4 linked regions of the Oryctolagus cuniculus genome follow. The protein of the gene in region 4 purifies or fractionates together with the protein of the main gene of each other region. This does not show direct contact. Links are inferred from orthologs where the notes say so. Each region holds a gene or a part of one and is shown on either strand. Other genes may lie near its edges.

Region 1 (2,592 bases), on a different chromosome or scaffold from region 4:
GATGGCCCAGGTGCTGGGGGCCCTGCACCCGCGTGGGGGACCCGGATGGAGCTCCTGGCTCCGGATCGGCACAGCCCCGGCCGACTGGGGAGTGACCCGGCAGGTGGAGGGCCTCCCCCCCCCCCCCGCCGCCCTTCAAACATCCTTGAGAACAACAGGGGGCGCGCTTCGGCGCAGCGGTGAGTGGCGTCAATGTCTGCCTGAAGACGGAGAAGGCAGAGGTGCCCAGGGCCCTCCCATCCGCGGCCGCCCGCGCCCGGGAGCCCGCCCGGCCGTCATCAGGGCGTCGCGTTGGCGGCAGAGGCGGGACCCCCAGTGTGCCCTCCCCGTGTGTGCCTGTGGGTGGGGGGTGTCGGCTTCCGGCCACCGCTCGTCTCCCGCGGACGGCGCGTGCCGCTCGGGCCCCCTCGTGGCTGCGTCCCCGGGGCCGCTCCTCCCGTGGGGCCGTGGGCAGCGCCCGCGGGCTGAGCGCGGACGGAAGGGGTGCGGCTCAGGGCACGTGCGTTTCTCCCTTTATTTAAAAAAATCATCCGGGGGCGCATGAGCGGCCTCCCGTGGCGGGGGTCGCGGGGCGGGGCGGGGGTCGGCTATGTACAGGTGGGCGCCGCCCTGGGTCTGGCCGCAGCCTCGGCCCCGCCCCCGGCCCCGGGTCGGAGGCGCCGCCTGGGCACGGGCTGGGCGGCGGCGGCCACGGAGGCCACGACCGGCCTCCGCCTCGGGGCTCGTGGGGCCGAGGTCGCGTTCCCCCCGCGGGGTCCCCGTGGCCGGCGCCGCTAGGTGTAGATGACCCCGGGGCTCTGGGGGCTGTGGGGGCTCGGGCCGCTAGCTGTAGAGGACGACCTCGGGGCCGGGGCCGGGCCCCCCAGGTGTAGACGGCGACCGCGGGCCCCAGGTGTAGACGGGCCTAGGTGTAGAAGATGACCTCGGGGATCTGGCCGTCCTCCACCGAGGTGCCGTTGTTGTTTCCCGCGGCGTAGCAGAAGGTGAAGCAGGTCTTGGCGCCGGTGCTGGGGGACTCGTGGGTCACCTTGCGCAGGCCCTTGGTGCCGTAGTGCGAGTCGGGGCCCTGAGGGGCGGGGGCGGTCAGCGGGGCGGCCGGGGCGCTGGGGGCGGGCGGCCGTGGGGCGGGTGCACCTTGAGCGTGGCTGGCGGGGGCGGGGCCGGGCGCTGGGGGCGGGGCGGGGCCGGGCGCTGGGGGCGGGGCCGGGCGCTAGGGGCGGGGCCGGGTGCTGGGGGCGGGGCGGGGCCGGGCGCTGGGGGCGGGGCGGGGGCGGGCGCACCTTGAGCGTGGCTGGCGGGGAGGGGCAGGGGCGGGGCCGGGCGCTGGGGGCGGGGCGGGGCGGGGGCGGGCGCACCTTGAGCGTGGCGCAGGCCGTGTAGTTGACGCTGGGCAGCACCTCCACCGGCTCCCGGAACATGACGCGGAAGGTGCCGGCCGAGCCGTCGCAGCTGAAGCCGGTGTCGTTCTGGCCCAGGACGGTGTTGCTGTCCGTGTGGATGATCTGGGGGAGGGGCGCGGTGAGGGGCGGCGCGCGCGGGGGCCCCCTCCCCCCGGGGGCGGGGCGGCCCGGGCGCACCTGGATGTTCACTTGGTAGTCGGTGGGGCCGTGGATGGAGCCGTACAGCCCGAAGCCCACCACGAAGATGCGCTTGTTGACGGAGAACCTGGGGGGGGGCGCGTGAGCGTGCGGGGGTGTCGGGGGGGGCTGCAGGAGCCCGCGGGAGGGGCCGCGTGAGCGTGCGGGGGGGGGGGGTCTGCAGGAACCCGCCGTGGGGGTCGCGTGAGCGTGCGGGGTGGTGGGCGGGGACTGCAGGAACCCGAGGGGGGGGCGGGGGCGCGTGAGCGTGCGGGGGGGGGGGCGCCGCACCTGATGCGGTCGCTGGTGCCGCTGTAGCCCCAGCGGCTCTCCACCTGCTGGAAGCGGCTCACGCTGCACTCCTTCCCGCGCAGGCAGCAGCGCGGCCGGTCGATGAAGTCCACGCGCGGCTTAGGGTTCACGGTGAAGTGCAGGAAGAGGCTGACCACCTCGCGGTCGCCCAGGATGCCCGACTGGGCGGGGCCTGCGCACGGGCGGACGCGCTCAGCGGGCAGCCGCCCCCACCCGACGCCGGGAGCGGCCCCAGGGCCCCTGGCACCCACGCGGCGCAGGACGCACGGGGCTCCCCACACCCGCCGCGCGCCGCGCACCTGCCGCGAACTCCTCGATGGTCATGAGCGGGAAGCGGATGAGGCCCAGGGCGGCGCCCAGCACCGCGCGCTTGTTCTCGGGCGTCACGGGCAGCTGCTGCCGCTGGCACTCGGCCTCGGACCAGCGCACCACGGCGCTGAACAGCCGCGCTTCCCGGATGCCCAGTGTGTCGCGCTCCAGCACCGCCACCAGCGTGTCTGCGGGCGCGGGCGCGGGCGCGGGGCTGTCACCGGGAGCGCGCCCCGGCCGCTCGGCCCCGCCCCGCCCCCGTCCCCGCCCCGCCCGCACACCCAGGTCGATGTCCCTCTACTCGGCCCCGCCCACTCCCACGCCCTGCCCCGCCCCCGGGCCCCGCCCCGCCCGCGCACCCAGGTCGATGTCCGTGAAGCCCTCGGCGGCGATG
Region 2 (3,500 bases), on a different chromosome or scaffold from region 4:
AGGAGCTTCCCCCAGATCTCCCACGCAGGTGTGGTGGCCCCAGCACTTGAGCCATCTTCCACTGCTTTCCCAGGCCATAGAGAGCTGGATCAGAAGTGGAACAGCCAGGACTCGAACCAGCACCCATATGGGATGCCGGCACTGCAGGCAGTGGCTTTACCCGCTAGGCCACAGCGCCGGCCCCATAACTCAAATAAATAAATATTTAAATAATATTCAAATAAATAAATATTTAAACAGGACTGTTTATTGGAAGTACCTGGAAGGCTTGTTCACAGTACCCGCCCAGGGTCCCTACCTCAGAGATGGACGGGAAGTCTGTACCGTTGAAGTAGCAGGGCTGGGCACAACAGAGGCAGCATTTTGTTGTACAAATTCATCATCTTCATCCGCCTGTTCGTAGGGAACCACTTCACCTTACACCCAAGGGACAGACATGCACTTCTTCAAGAACAACTTTGGACAGATGGAAAGTGCCAAAGGCCTGTATTATAGTAGCAATGACACGTGGGTTTCAAAGGCAGAGAGAGAGGGGCTGCCTTCTGTCCACGCTTGGAAGAGCAGTAGTCAACCCCGTGCACTGTCACTGGCTCCATACCCCATTAAGGAAAGACGGTAGACTGAGGGCTGAGTGCATCTCCATTTCTCTAACATCCCCACGGACAGCAGTATTGAGAGCAGCGAGTCAGAAAGGCGAGTGATGGGCAATGGCAGAAGGCAGGCGAGGCTGATAGGTCCCACGTTTCAGAGTTCCTGCCCTGGGTCTTGCCAGGTGAAGGGCGATGGAGAGCCCTGCTGAAGCCAGGGAGCCCTGCGAGGTATAGCGGTGGGCGCATCAGCGACCTGCGTGAGCCTCCCTCTCCTCCCTGCCGTCAGTCAGGCGGAACCCACGCCACGGCGAGGCTGCGTGGAACGTGCTAGCACTCGGCCAGTCACTGTCGTGTGTCGTTACTTTGATTCTCACAATAATCTTGGGAAGAAGGTAAAGCAAGATTCGTTCCCAAATGAAAAGATCCGAGTGAAACTCAGGAGAAGCCCGTGGTTTTTTCCTGGATTGCACAGTCACAGCCAAATCCCATGCCCACTGCTGTTCTCCAGGGCACCATCATGGTGTGTCCTTTCAGTATTTTTTTTTAATTGAACTTTGATAGACACACAGGAAAAGTGTGCATATTCTATAAGTGGTACTGAGGGCTCAGTTTCCATAAACTGCACACCGCTGGGAACCCAGTACCCAGTCCCTGCCCGCACTGGGGCTCCTGTCCTGACCTAGTCAGCACACATGGCTTCAGCTTGTTTCACTGTTACTGTTTCCATCTCCTTTTTAATTTTCTTAAAAATTTTTTATTTGAGAGGTAGAGTTACACACCGGGAGAGACCGAGAGAGAGGTCTTCCATCTGCTGGTTCACTCCCCAGATGGCTCCAGGTCTCTCATGCAGGTACAGAGGCCCAAGGACTTGGGCCATCTTCCATTGCTTTCCCAGGCCACAGCAGAGAGCTGGATGGGATGAGGAGCAGCAGGACACAAACAGGCAGGCGTTCATGGGATGCCGACGCTGCAGGTGGAGGCTTAGCCCACTACGCCACAGCGCTGGCCCCTGAAGGTCATTTTAATTGCAGTAAATTACATTAAGACATGGGCAATGGTGAGGGGGTTTTCTAGCAACAAGACGTCAGCTGGCAAGCATTAAAGGCTCATGTCCCTTAGGTGAAGTGCACACATTCTAAAGCCCTTTTGGGGACGCTTCTCTGTCCCCCAGCCAAGGCCAACTTGGAGCTCCTGCCCAGCAGGAAGTAGCGCCTCTCTGCTCCTGGGGCTCTCAGCAGGAGAGAGAGAGAGTCAGAGCACAGACTCAGTGGTCCATTCGACTGCTTTGACTTAAATATAATTAACCTTTCAAAACTTACAGATCATTGAATATGAAAAAAAACAAACCCTGGGACAAAATGATACCGGCTTTAGTTGTGATGGGACCGCGAACACGTTCAGGGTCATGTTCAAGGAGCCCATAGAAATCCTGCCCAACGTGTGCTACACAGCGTGCGCCACCCTCAAGGTAAGAGCGGCTTAGAGCGTGCGCGCGCGTGCATACACACACACACACACACACACACACACCCCGGCGCTGGTGGGGCCCCAGCTCGGTCCTGGATGCCTCAGGAGCTGGGAAGCACCTGCAGAGCGGGGTGGAAGGCAGGCTGGGAGCTGACCTATCTCGTGGTCTGGGGAAAGAAGTGCTCCTCGGTACAGCTCTTTAGGAGGAAATGGGTCTAAGAAGTAGCCGCTGGTCTGAGTAGGAAATTAGAATGTCTGAATGAATGGAAAATAATTACTTTCTTGAGAGCTCTTACTCCCTAATAGCCGAGCTCTGCACTCAGTCTGCACTCTGTGCTCATTAATTAGCTTTTGGGCAAAACCTTCGTTTTTCATTAAATGACTTAGCATAAAATTTTGTAGGAGCTATAATGGAATGTAAACCACTAATCTAATTAAAATAGCACATTAGATTGAGGGTTATTAAGTGAAAATTGCTCATGAACCTTTTGTTCTCACTCAGGGTCCGGATTCCCACTACGGCACAAAAGGACTGAAGAAGGTGGTCCATGAGACCCCGGCCGCGAGCAAGACTGTTTTCTTATTTTTCAGTTCTCCTGGCAATAACAATGGCACTTCCATAGAAGATGGACAAATCCCAGAAATCATATTTTATACATAGTTTAGCATCACAGTACATCTTAGCTCAGTAGTACCATACCGTCTAGTCTCAAAACCACAAATAACTGGCCCCAAAAATAGCTGGAGTGTTTGAGTATTTATAATTGTAAAATAAAAAAACATTTTAGTTTCTCAAAGGAGATAGGAAAATGTTCATTGAAATCTCTGCATGACTGACTTAAAGGCAGGTTTTCCATTTTCTTACGATCTTAGAGGAAGAGAACTGGGTGTAATTGTATAGAAACAAAAGCGAAGCTATTTCAGCTCCGCCTTGTATAATTTCCTAGGTCAGCTGGGTCACGGTCTTGGAATAGTTCTGGAATCATCTTGTTTTATGTAGCTGGTTTTGTTTTCTGTTTTTGTTTTAGCCGTTTGGAAGGGTTAGATGAGTTGGGTCAGTATTCCTACAGTCCCAATGAGCTCTCATAACTAATTTCAAAGAATTAATAAAACTGACTTTATATTCGGGGTTTGAAATATCTGGTGGCTAGCATTTGGAGAGATGCTAAAAATAGACCTAATAAATGCCCAAGAAAATGGTCAATGCATTTAAAGGAACAGATATTTTGTAATAGTATAGAAACGTGTTACATAATACAGTGTAAAACTATTAATGGAGTTTGTATAAATTCGCAATAATGCGATATAAGCAAAGGGCCTAACGGTGTGGGCTAGGACTGATTCCTGTTCAGTAGACAGACTGCGAGGCTCGGCCGCGCCTGTCCGGGGGCTGCGGGGACTGAGCGGAGGCCACTTCAGCACCGCGGTCAGCGCACCCGCGCT
Region 3 (3,500 bases), on a different chromosome or scaffold from region 4:
CTTTTCCCCCTTTCCCAATAGAGTCTGTAAAAAAAGATAAAGACATATTGTCTCTAAGACACTGCTTGCTGTGTTCTAAGAATATCTCCTATTTAGGATAAGGTCATTGGATAACAAGTGACCTAGGTGTTTCTTTTCCTTTTTTTTTTTTTTTTTAAGATTTATTTATTTATTTGAAAGTCAAAGTTTCAGAGAGGAGAGACCCTCAATCCACTGGTTCATTCCCCAGATGGCCACAACAGCTAGGGCTGGGCCAGACCAAAGCCAAGGAGCCAGGAGCCTCTTCAGGGTCTCCCATGTGGGTGCAGGGGCCCCACAGACTTGGGCCATCTTCTACTGCTTTCCCATGTGCACTACCAGAGAGCTAGATCAGAAATGGAGCAGCCAGGACTCGAACTGGCACTTGTATGGAATGTCGGCACTGCAGGCAGAGGTTAATCTTCTACACCGAAGTGCCAGACCCAACCAAGGAGTTTCTACTAGACCTATGTACTTAGAGAGGGATGTTTGTTCCATTACTGTTTCCCTACAAGTAACAAACCCTCCTCTCTGCTCACCATTGGTGAAGTCAGGGCCGAGGCTTAGGGAGTGCTGTGCTGTTGGGGACCTCTAGGGTGATTTGGTGCATGCCTCATCTTGCAGGGCAGAACAAGGCACAACAGTGTGGCTTCTTAAGGTCCTGTCTGGGTAAGAGTGACTTCAGTGAATGAAGAACTCTGACTTTTCTGAGTCCTTGGAAGATAGGCTCTGTCCCTCTCGTACTGGATTTTGATAGTACCTTGCTTGGTGATTTAAAAAAAAAAGGATAGCTAGCTGTTCATGTCTCTATGGGTGAGGAAAGCTGTGAGGATGAAAGTATGTAGAGCATGTAAAGCACCCAGGTGTTCATCACACACAACAAATGACCAACAATCAACAGCTCCTCATTGTTGCAGAATGAAAAAAGGGCAGCCACACATTCGAGCACTGTCCAGGGCATATTTCATGGGAAGTTGAAGAACTTAAATCATCTTGCTAATTAAACATGCACCCTCACACGCTGATGGAGCTACCACAAGGCTGTGTAGAAGGCACCTTACCTCACTGTTGGCACTTTCCACAAATGACCCCCCAAACATGGCTGCCATCCACTCGCAGCTACAGATCAGCAGTGGCTTGTGGGCACTGATGGCACCATCATCCAACTTAAAGGTCACATCTGCCAAAGGATTGAGGGAACGCAACAGTGAGCCAGCTTCACAGAGAGTTTACTCAAGGCTTCTGCTCCGCCTTTTACCCTGCAGGTCCCTTACTCTCTCTTCTGTCTTTATTTACTGGTTTTATGTCAACCCCTATCTCTCCCACACCTGATTCCCACACTGAAGAGCAAGTGTTTAAACGTACACAAAGTCTCTGAACCAGGAAATAACAAAAAGGAGAAGTGACAACACAAATTCCCTGAACCAGGAAGTAACAAAAAGGAGAGGAATATTTTTGTCCACTTCTTATTATGAAAAATTCCAAACACAGAACAGTGGAAAGAATAGTAATCACTCATTTATCCACTGTTAACATTTTGCCACATGTGCTACAGCTGTATGTGTATTTATATATAACTTCATATATGTGGGTAGACTTTTTCTAATAGGTAATATGACATGTCACTCCTAACTACTTTATCAGGAATTTTCAAAAAAGAACATTCTCCTAAATAACCATGCCAATATTGCGACCAAAAAAATTAGAAATAATTTTCTAATATCACCATTCAGTTCATGACAAATTTGTCTAATGATCCATAACTTAATTTTCTAACAATCTGTAGCAACTTCTGTTTAAATATTTTTATTTTCATTTTATTTGAAAAGCAGAGAGAGAAAGAAACACACACATATACATGGGGTGGGAGAGAGGGAGAGAGAGATCTTCCATTGGGTGGTTCACTCCCCAAATGACTACAAGAGTTCTGAAGCAAGGAGCCCAGAACTCAATCCAGGTCTCCCACATGGGTGGCAGGAACTTAACTACTTGAGTCATCACTACTGCCTCCCAGGGTGCACATTAGCAGGTAGCTGGGAATGAAAGTGGAGCTCGGACTCTAACCCACGCTCTTCGATATGGGACGAGGGCATCCCAAGCAGTGCTAGTCACCTCTGTGCCAGCTGCCTGCACTTGTGACATTCTTTTCATTAACTTCCAATACTGCTTCTATACCACAATGGCCAATGTTTGGAGCAAATGTTGCTCATAAGTTTTAAAATTAGTCAACAGATTCAGTAACCACTTCTAAATGCGTAGCACCATACAGAGCAGTGATTATTAAAGATAAAGATAAAAATGTAAGTATCCATTGGTATAGAAGCCAGGGAGTCAACTTTTTACAATGAAATACACCCTTGTTCACATACACAGGATAATTTCACAACAAAAGTACTGTGTCAGACAGCAGGAGTTGTGTAAGAATGGATCATAACCCAGATTGGATGCAGGCCACCAGAGTGCTTAAGCAACTGTGTGAGGGTGCTGCAGGCAGCACGAGAGTGCAAATATCAGGAAACTGCAGCAGAGCAGGGCCAGGGGGTGTGATGTGCAACCGAGCAGGGGATGGAAACAGATGGTGACCGGCTCACCTGAGAAGGTCCCCTTGCTGAGACACTCTTTTATCCGATTGGCTTTCCTGACGTGGAAAGCTTTTGTAATCTCTTGGTTCATGAAAGCTTCCTTGTTCATGATGTTTTCCACCATCATCCTCAAATCAAACATCTCTAGGACCTCTGCGATCTGAGCCAGGCCGACCAAATCCTTTTCCTTTTCATCCAGTTGCCCTGTATAAAGAAACTGGAGCAGGGTGCGGAAAGGGCCTGGCTGGACGGAGGAGTCCATTCTGACCACCGTCACGGGGCCCACTCGCTTTGAAATGGGATTGACTTGCATCTCCTTGTGCATGTCAATGAACCCCTTACTCCAGCCGGCCAAAGTCTGTGTCTCGGGAGTTGAGCCCTCAGCTTCCGGCCCCGTGGCCTCCAGCAGGAACTTCCTTGACGACTTCCCTTGATCAGCCTGCGGTGTCCGAGGCAGGCCTTCCTCCCTCTCCCCATCTAGGTCAGGACTCAAAGTCCGCCCCTGGAAATCCGTGCTCTGCTTCTCTTTCTCACACACTCCTTCACCCCAATTGGGGAATTCTTCACATTCCATTAAAAAAAGATCGTAGAATTTGGAAGAAGAGGTAGCGAGGTAAATCCGATGTGCAAAGATGTGCTCCTGGTCCTGCAGGATGAACAGGACATCCGCACACAGGGGACTGTCCAGTAAACAGGCAGCTTCATTCATCCCCGTGGAAGGACACTCTGGAATCTTGATGACCGGTGGAGGGGCTTTTGGAGGTAGGAAAGGGGCCTGAAGCAAAGGTTTCTGGACTTTCTTTAAGTGAGATTTCCAGAACTGCAGGTGGCGGCGAGAAATCAGCGCGGCTCGTATTGCATTGTCAAACACATCCTTGATTCCGAATTGGTCAAATACAC
Region 4 (4,154 bases):
TTTATGTATGAGAAAAACTTTAATGAAGTTAATTTAAATGGGGAAAGCAGTTGCACTGAGCTCAGGTGGACCCCACAGGGTGACGTGAAAGCGCAGAGCAAAGATCGCGGGTGCTCCTGAGTCCTCCACCCAACTGGCTGTGGGGTCACTTCAGGAGGCAGTGCACTGCCAAGTGCTGACACAGATTCTGCCTCACAAAGCTGGCACAAGGGGCCTCACCTAAGGTCCCCACTGGGAAATCTGGTGCCCGACAGAGAGGACAGAGCCACTGGGAGGGGTGCTGAGGGGCTGATCCCCTTTTATTGACCACAGCGGTTCTCTAAGGGAGTGGCGCGCCCCTCCCCTTGGGACAGGCCGCTGAGCCCAGTGCATCCTTTCAAGTGGCCTCAGAAGAAGAGGCCCCGCATCCGTCTGCCAATGCCTTGTCGGTCATAGAGGACGTTGAACTTGTTCACAAACTGGTTCATGGTGTTGCAGGTTTTGGTGATGGTGCCGAGGTAGGCCATGAGCCCCACATCATTGCATTGCTGCAGGGGAACAGAAAGAACCAGTTCTCCAGGCATCCCTCTTTGCAGTCCCATCCTGTGAGCAAAACCTCCCCAGCCGGGTTTCATACTCACATCGTAAAAGTCTGTCTTGAACTTGTCTGTGCTGAGCACTGGGAGGCAGTGACACAGAGCATAGGCCTCCCGCAGGATCTCATGGTTAAAGGGGACCTCACCTACAGACAAGAAGAGACCGCATTCACATGGATGCTGTCACTTGGCCGGGGGGGAGGTGGACGCCACAGGCCTGCCCTACCTGCTTCAGAGGCCTTGACGTACTCCAGGATGAGCTTGACCCGGCTGTGCAGCATCTTGATGGCGCTGTGCTGTGCTATCAGGTGTTCAGCCACTGCAAGGGACAGGCACGGGCAGAGAGTGAGAAGGCACTTGGCCATACCTCCCACCCTCGCTTCCAAGGAATCCCCTCCATTACCGGTGGAGTTCTCTCCACTGCCTGTGGCTGTCATTCGGGCCACATGGTCAACACCAATGCGTTCAGCTTCCTCTGTGGCCAGAGTGTATGTCAGCTCAGCAAACAGCATCGTGGCCTGTGGAGCAGAGTGTCCCAGACAGTGAGAGTCAAAATCGGAAATGCGTCGAGCAGGCCCTGAGGGGTGAGGGGTCAGGCGTTACCTCTCCGTTGATTATATCAATGACAGACTCAAAAACGCTGACAGGAAGCTGTAAAGAACAGAGAACAGCTCTTAGGAACAGCAAATGACTTGAATCTCCACTAGGTGCTACACGTGGGCACCGCCTCCCATCCGATCTTCACAAGAACCCAGGGAGGTAGGGAGTATCCCCGTTTCACATGTGAAACAGCAATGTGGAGGTTAAACGCCACTCAAAGCCACGCAGCTGCTAAGGGCAGAACGGAGGTTCAACCCCAGCACTGCCCAGTTGCTAAGAAGCTGTGCTACCGGCAACAGCGGACCGACAAACAAGCACGGCACGAGGTCAGGACTACTCACGTCTGTGTGCTTGGTCATAGGGTTCAACTTCAGAAAGAGGGGGCTCTCGATGATCTCACACACCTGGAGGAGAGGGCCGGCGTGCAGGTGGACGTCCCACCCTCTTCTCCCCGCCCCCCGCCCCCCACCCGCCAGTCGCAGGTGTGAGCGTCTGTATCTGTACCTGCTTGTGGACGTGGATGTCGGAGGGGTCAGGCGGCCCCCCTGTGGTGTACCAGCCCAGAAACTCCAGCTCCTTGAATACCTGTTTAACTGGAGAGCAATCGTACTTCTTTAAACCACCCTCCCTGCCTCCGAGCTCCCCCTCCCTCCTCACCCCTGCTATTCTGACCGCTCATCCTGTACACCGTTTTAGGGAATACCGTCTTGAGATCTCTTCAGGTGAATTAACTCTTCCATTCTCGGCTTCCTCTCCTGGTTATTTCTCCCCGGTCCTGTGTTTTGTTTTGTTTTTCTTTCTTTGACCCCCCACACCTCTCCCCCACTGGCTTCCCCTCTCACACTGCTCCTCCTTGGTGTAATAATACTCCTTGTCGATGATAATCTTCTCTTCCACGGTGTGGGACAGCAGCTCAAAGGAGTTCATCACCTCAATATTCCGGCCTTCCTGCTTCCCGATCAGAGCCCCGACCACTGGGGGGAAGAGAACGGACGTGAGAGGGGACGGTAGGGAATCCCAAAACTTGATCTCCCGCTGGGGGTCTGAGGGCACGTGTGGGCCGACTGCTGCAGAAACAGTGATGGGGGAGGGGGACTGGCTTCGGCTGACGAGGCCCGGGGAGCTACCGAGGGGACGGGGTCGGAGAAGCACGCCCAACACTCACCCTGCATAGGCCGCCCCTCCTGGGAGCGCATGCGGATCCAGTGGTCGGAGATGTTCAGGATGACGAGAGGATGGAGGGCGACGGAAACACTGCCGGTCACTCCGGAGGCCATCACGCTGGGGACTACTGACGGTGCAGGGGACGGAGAGAGGGTGAGAGTCTCCGGACCCCCACGCTCTTCCCTGGAGATGGGAGTCGGGGGACGGCAGAGCCGGGGCCATACATCGCTCCCACAAGTTATCCCACCGCCCTCCTCACGTCCCCCGGGAGTCCAAGACGGCCTGCACGCACCCCTGAGTGCTGTCTCCAGAAGTCGCCCCCGCGCAGCCCGTTACCTGCTCCATCCACCTCCATCCCGCTGCTCCCTCCGGTCCCGTTCGCCGCAGCCGCCGCCGCCGCCATTTTCCCCGCGCCCGCCAGCCTCGGCCCCGCCCCCTGCCCTCCCGGCTTCCGTACGGCGAGCGGCGCATGCGCGGTGTCCCCGCGGCGCGCGTCGGGCCGCCCGGGAGCGAGCGGTCAGTTCCCTGAGTGTGGCGCGGTCTCGGTGGAGCGTGACCCCCGCGTCTCGCCTGCGGGCGACCTGGGCCGGATCAGTCCACTCCGCGCGCCCCGCCTGAATCGTTCCCGGCAGTAAAGCTGGGACAAGAATGGCTAGCGCTTAAGGGGGTTGCAGAATGAATGCAATGGCAACTTTCACAATGAAATCCAGACTGCTGACCGCAAGCCGAGAGGCCGTGTGCTCTGACCCCTGCCTGCCGGGCGGCCTGGCCCTGGCTTCCACCTTTCCAGCCTTGGGTCCCTGGGGTTCGGCCAGGACCTCGTATCTGTTTTCCGTACATACTCACTGACTGCCAGCCACAGGGCTGGGAGTCCTGTCTCTCATCCCGGTACCCCTGTGACCAACACACATGGGGGCCTTTTTTTTTTTTTTTTTTTTTTTTTTTTGAGTGAATGGATGCAGAACTTTGGGGTGGAGCCGGGATTTGGGCGGCTCCGTCTGCATATCCTATCTTTCCTCCTTCCAAATACTGGTATTAGGTGCAGCACTGGGAACAGCCCCCACCCATCCCAACCTCCCAACCTTGCCGGCTCCAGCCCACCCCAGCTCTCCCTGCTCCCCCAAGCCCGAGCCGGTTGCGGTCACCGACCGCCCCTCCTGCTGCCGCTACAGTTTGGGTCCGGCTGGCCGTTTCGGTGTCTGCATCGCCGCCCCCAAGTGTGAGCTGGTCCCAGGAGGTGTTCCGGGGAGAGTGGTGGGAAATCCAGCAGTCACCCCACTTAGGAGCCTGAACAGAGTTCCACAGTTCTCAGAGGAATGGACTTGAGACACGCTGCGGGGTGAGGGGACTTCTGGCCTACGGGAATTAACCGTTTACCTCATTCCTCGGGGCGAGTGTTTGGCTCAACAGTTAAGTTGCTGTTTGTGTCACTTGCATCATCAGAAAATGCGTGTGCAGTCCCAGCTCTGCCTCTGATCCAGCTTCCTGGAATACACTCCCTGGGAGGCAGCAGGTGATGGTTCAAGAGCACGTGGGGGGCCGGCGCTGTGGCCTAGAGGTGCCCCCACCTGCCTTCAGTGGCCGGCATCCCATACAGGTGCCGGTTCAAGTCCCGGCTGCTCCACTTCTGATCCAGCTCTCTGCTATGGCCTGGGAAAGCAGTGGAGGATGGCCCAAGTCCTTGAGACCCTGCACCGGCGTGGAGACCTGGAAGAAGCTCCTGGCTCCTGGCTTTGGATCGGCACAGCTCCAGCCAGTTTACCTCAGCTTCTTGCTCTTAAACTCAGAGGCATAGTTGCTAAGGATGGAAAATAA

What was found. The genes of interacting proteins can lie anywhere in the genome.
Region 1: the proteins of COPS6 (region 4) and BTBD2 purify together in Homo sapiens (affinity purification with mass spectrometry; 4 studies listed by BioGRID and IntAct, counting the BioPlex papers as one, with this or other methods). This does not show direct contact. The link is inferred for Oryctolagus cuniculus from reciprocal best matches to the Homo sapiens genes COPS6 and BTBD2.
Region 2: the proteins of COPS6 (region 4) and BTBD1 purify together in Homo sapiens (affinity purification with mass spectrometry; 3 studies listed by BioGRID and IntAct, counting the BioPlex papers as one, with this or other methods). This does not show direct contact. The link is inferred for Oryctolagus cuniculus from reciprocal best matches to the Homo sapiens genes COPS6 and BTBD1.
Region 3: the proteins of COPS6 (region 4) and RHOBTB1 purify together in Homo sapiens (affinity purification with mass spectrometry; 4 studies listed by BioGRID and IntAct, counting the BioPlex papers as one, with this or other methods). This does not show direct contact. The link is inferred for Oryctolagus cuniculus from reciprocal best matches to the Homo sapiens genes COPS6 and RHOBTB1.

What each region holds. Positions count from the first base shown.
Region 1 is NC_091447.1:58,981,611-58,984,202, forward strand, and holds the end of BTBD2 (BTB/POZ domain-containing protein 2), read right to left. Parts: coding exon 2,558-2,592; intron 2,387-2,557; coding exon 2,189-2,386; intron 2,062-2,188; coding exon 1,869-2,061; intron 1,666-1,868; coding exon 1,578-1,665; intron 1,503-1,577; coding exon 1,356-1,502; intron 1,067-1,355; coding exon 905-1,066; 3' UTR 501-904; downstream 1-500.
Region 2 is NC_091443.1:101,886,706-101,890,205, reverse strand, and holds part of BTBD1 (BTB/POZ domain-containing protein 1), read left to right. Parts: intron 1-1,911; coding exon 1,912-2,058; intron 2,059-2,559; coding exon 2,560-2,718; 3' UTR 2,719-3,500.
Region 3 is NC_091446.1:53,268,701-53,272,200, forward strand, and holds part of RHOBTB1 (rho-related BTB domain-containing protein 1), read right to left. Parts: coding exon 2,610-3,500; intron 1,199-2,609; coding exon 1,080-1,198; intron 1-1,079.
Region 4 is NC_091450.1:42,358,272-42,362,425, reverse strand, and holds the start of COPS6 (COP9 signalosome complex subunit 6), read right to left. Parts: upstream 2,801-4,154; 5' UTR 2,743-2,800; coding exon 2,676-2,742; intron 2,467-2,675; coding exon 2,341-2,466; intron 2,150-2,340; coding exon 2,018-2,149; intron 1,769-2,017; coding exon 1,680-1,768; intron 1,580-1,679; coding exon 1,517-1,579; intron 1,227-1,516; coding exon 1,179-1,226; intron 1,094-1,178; coding exon 979-1,093; intron 895-978; coding exon 802-894; intron 722-801; coding exon 621-721; intron 528-620; coding exon 387-527; 3' UTR 1-386. UniProt on the Homo sapiens protein: Component of the COP9 signalosome complex (CSN), a complex involved in various cellular and developmental processes.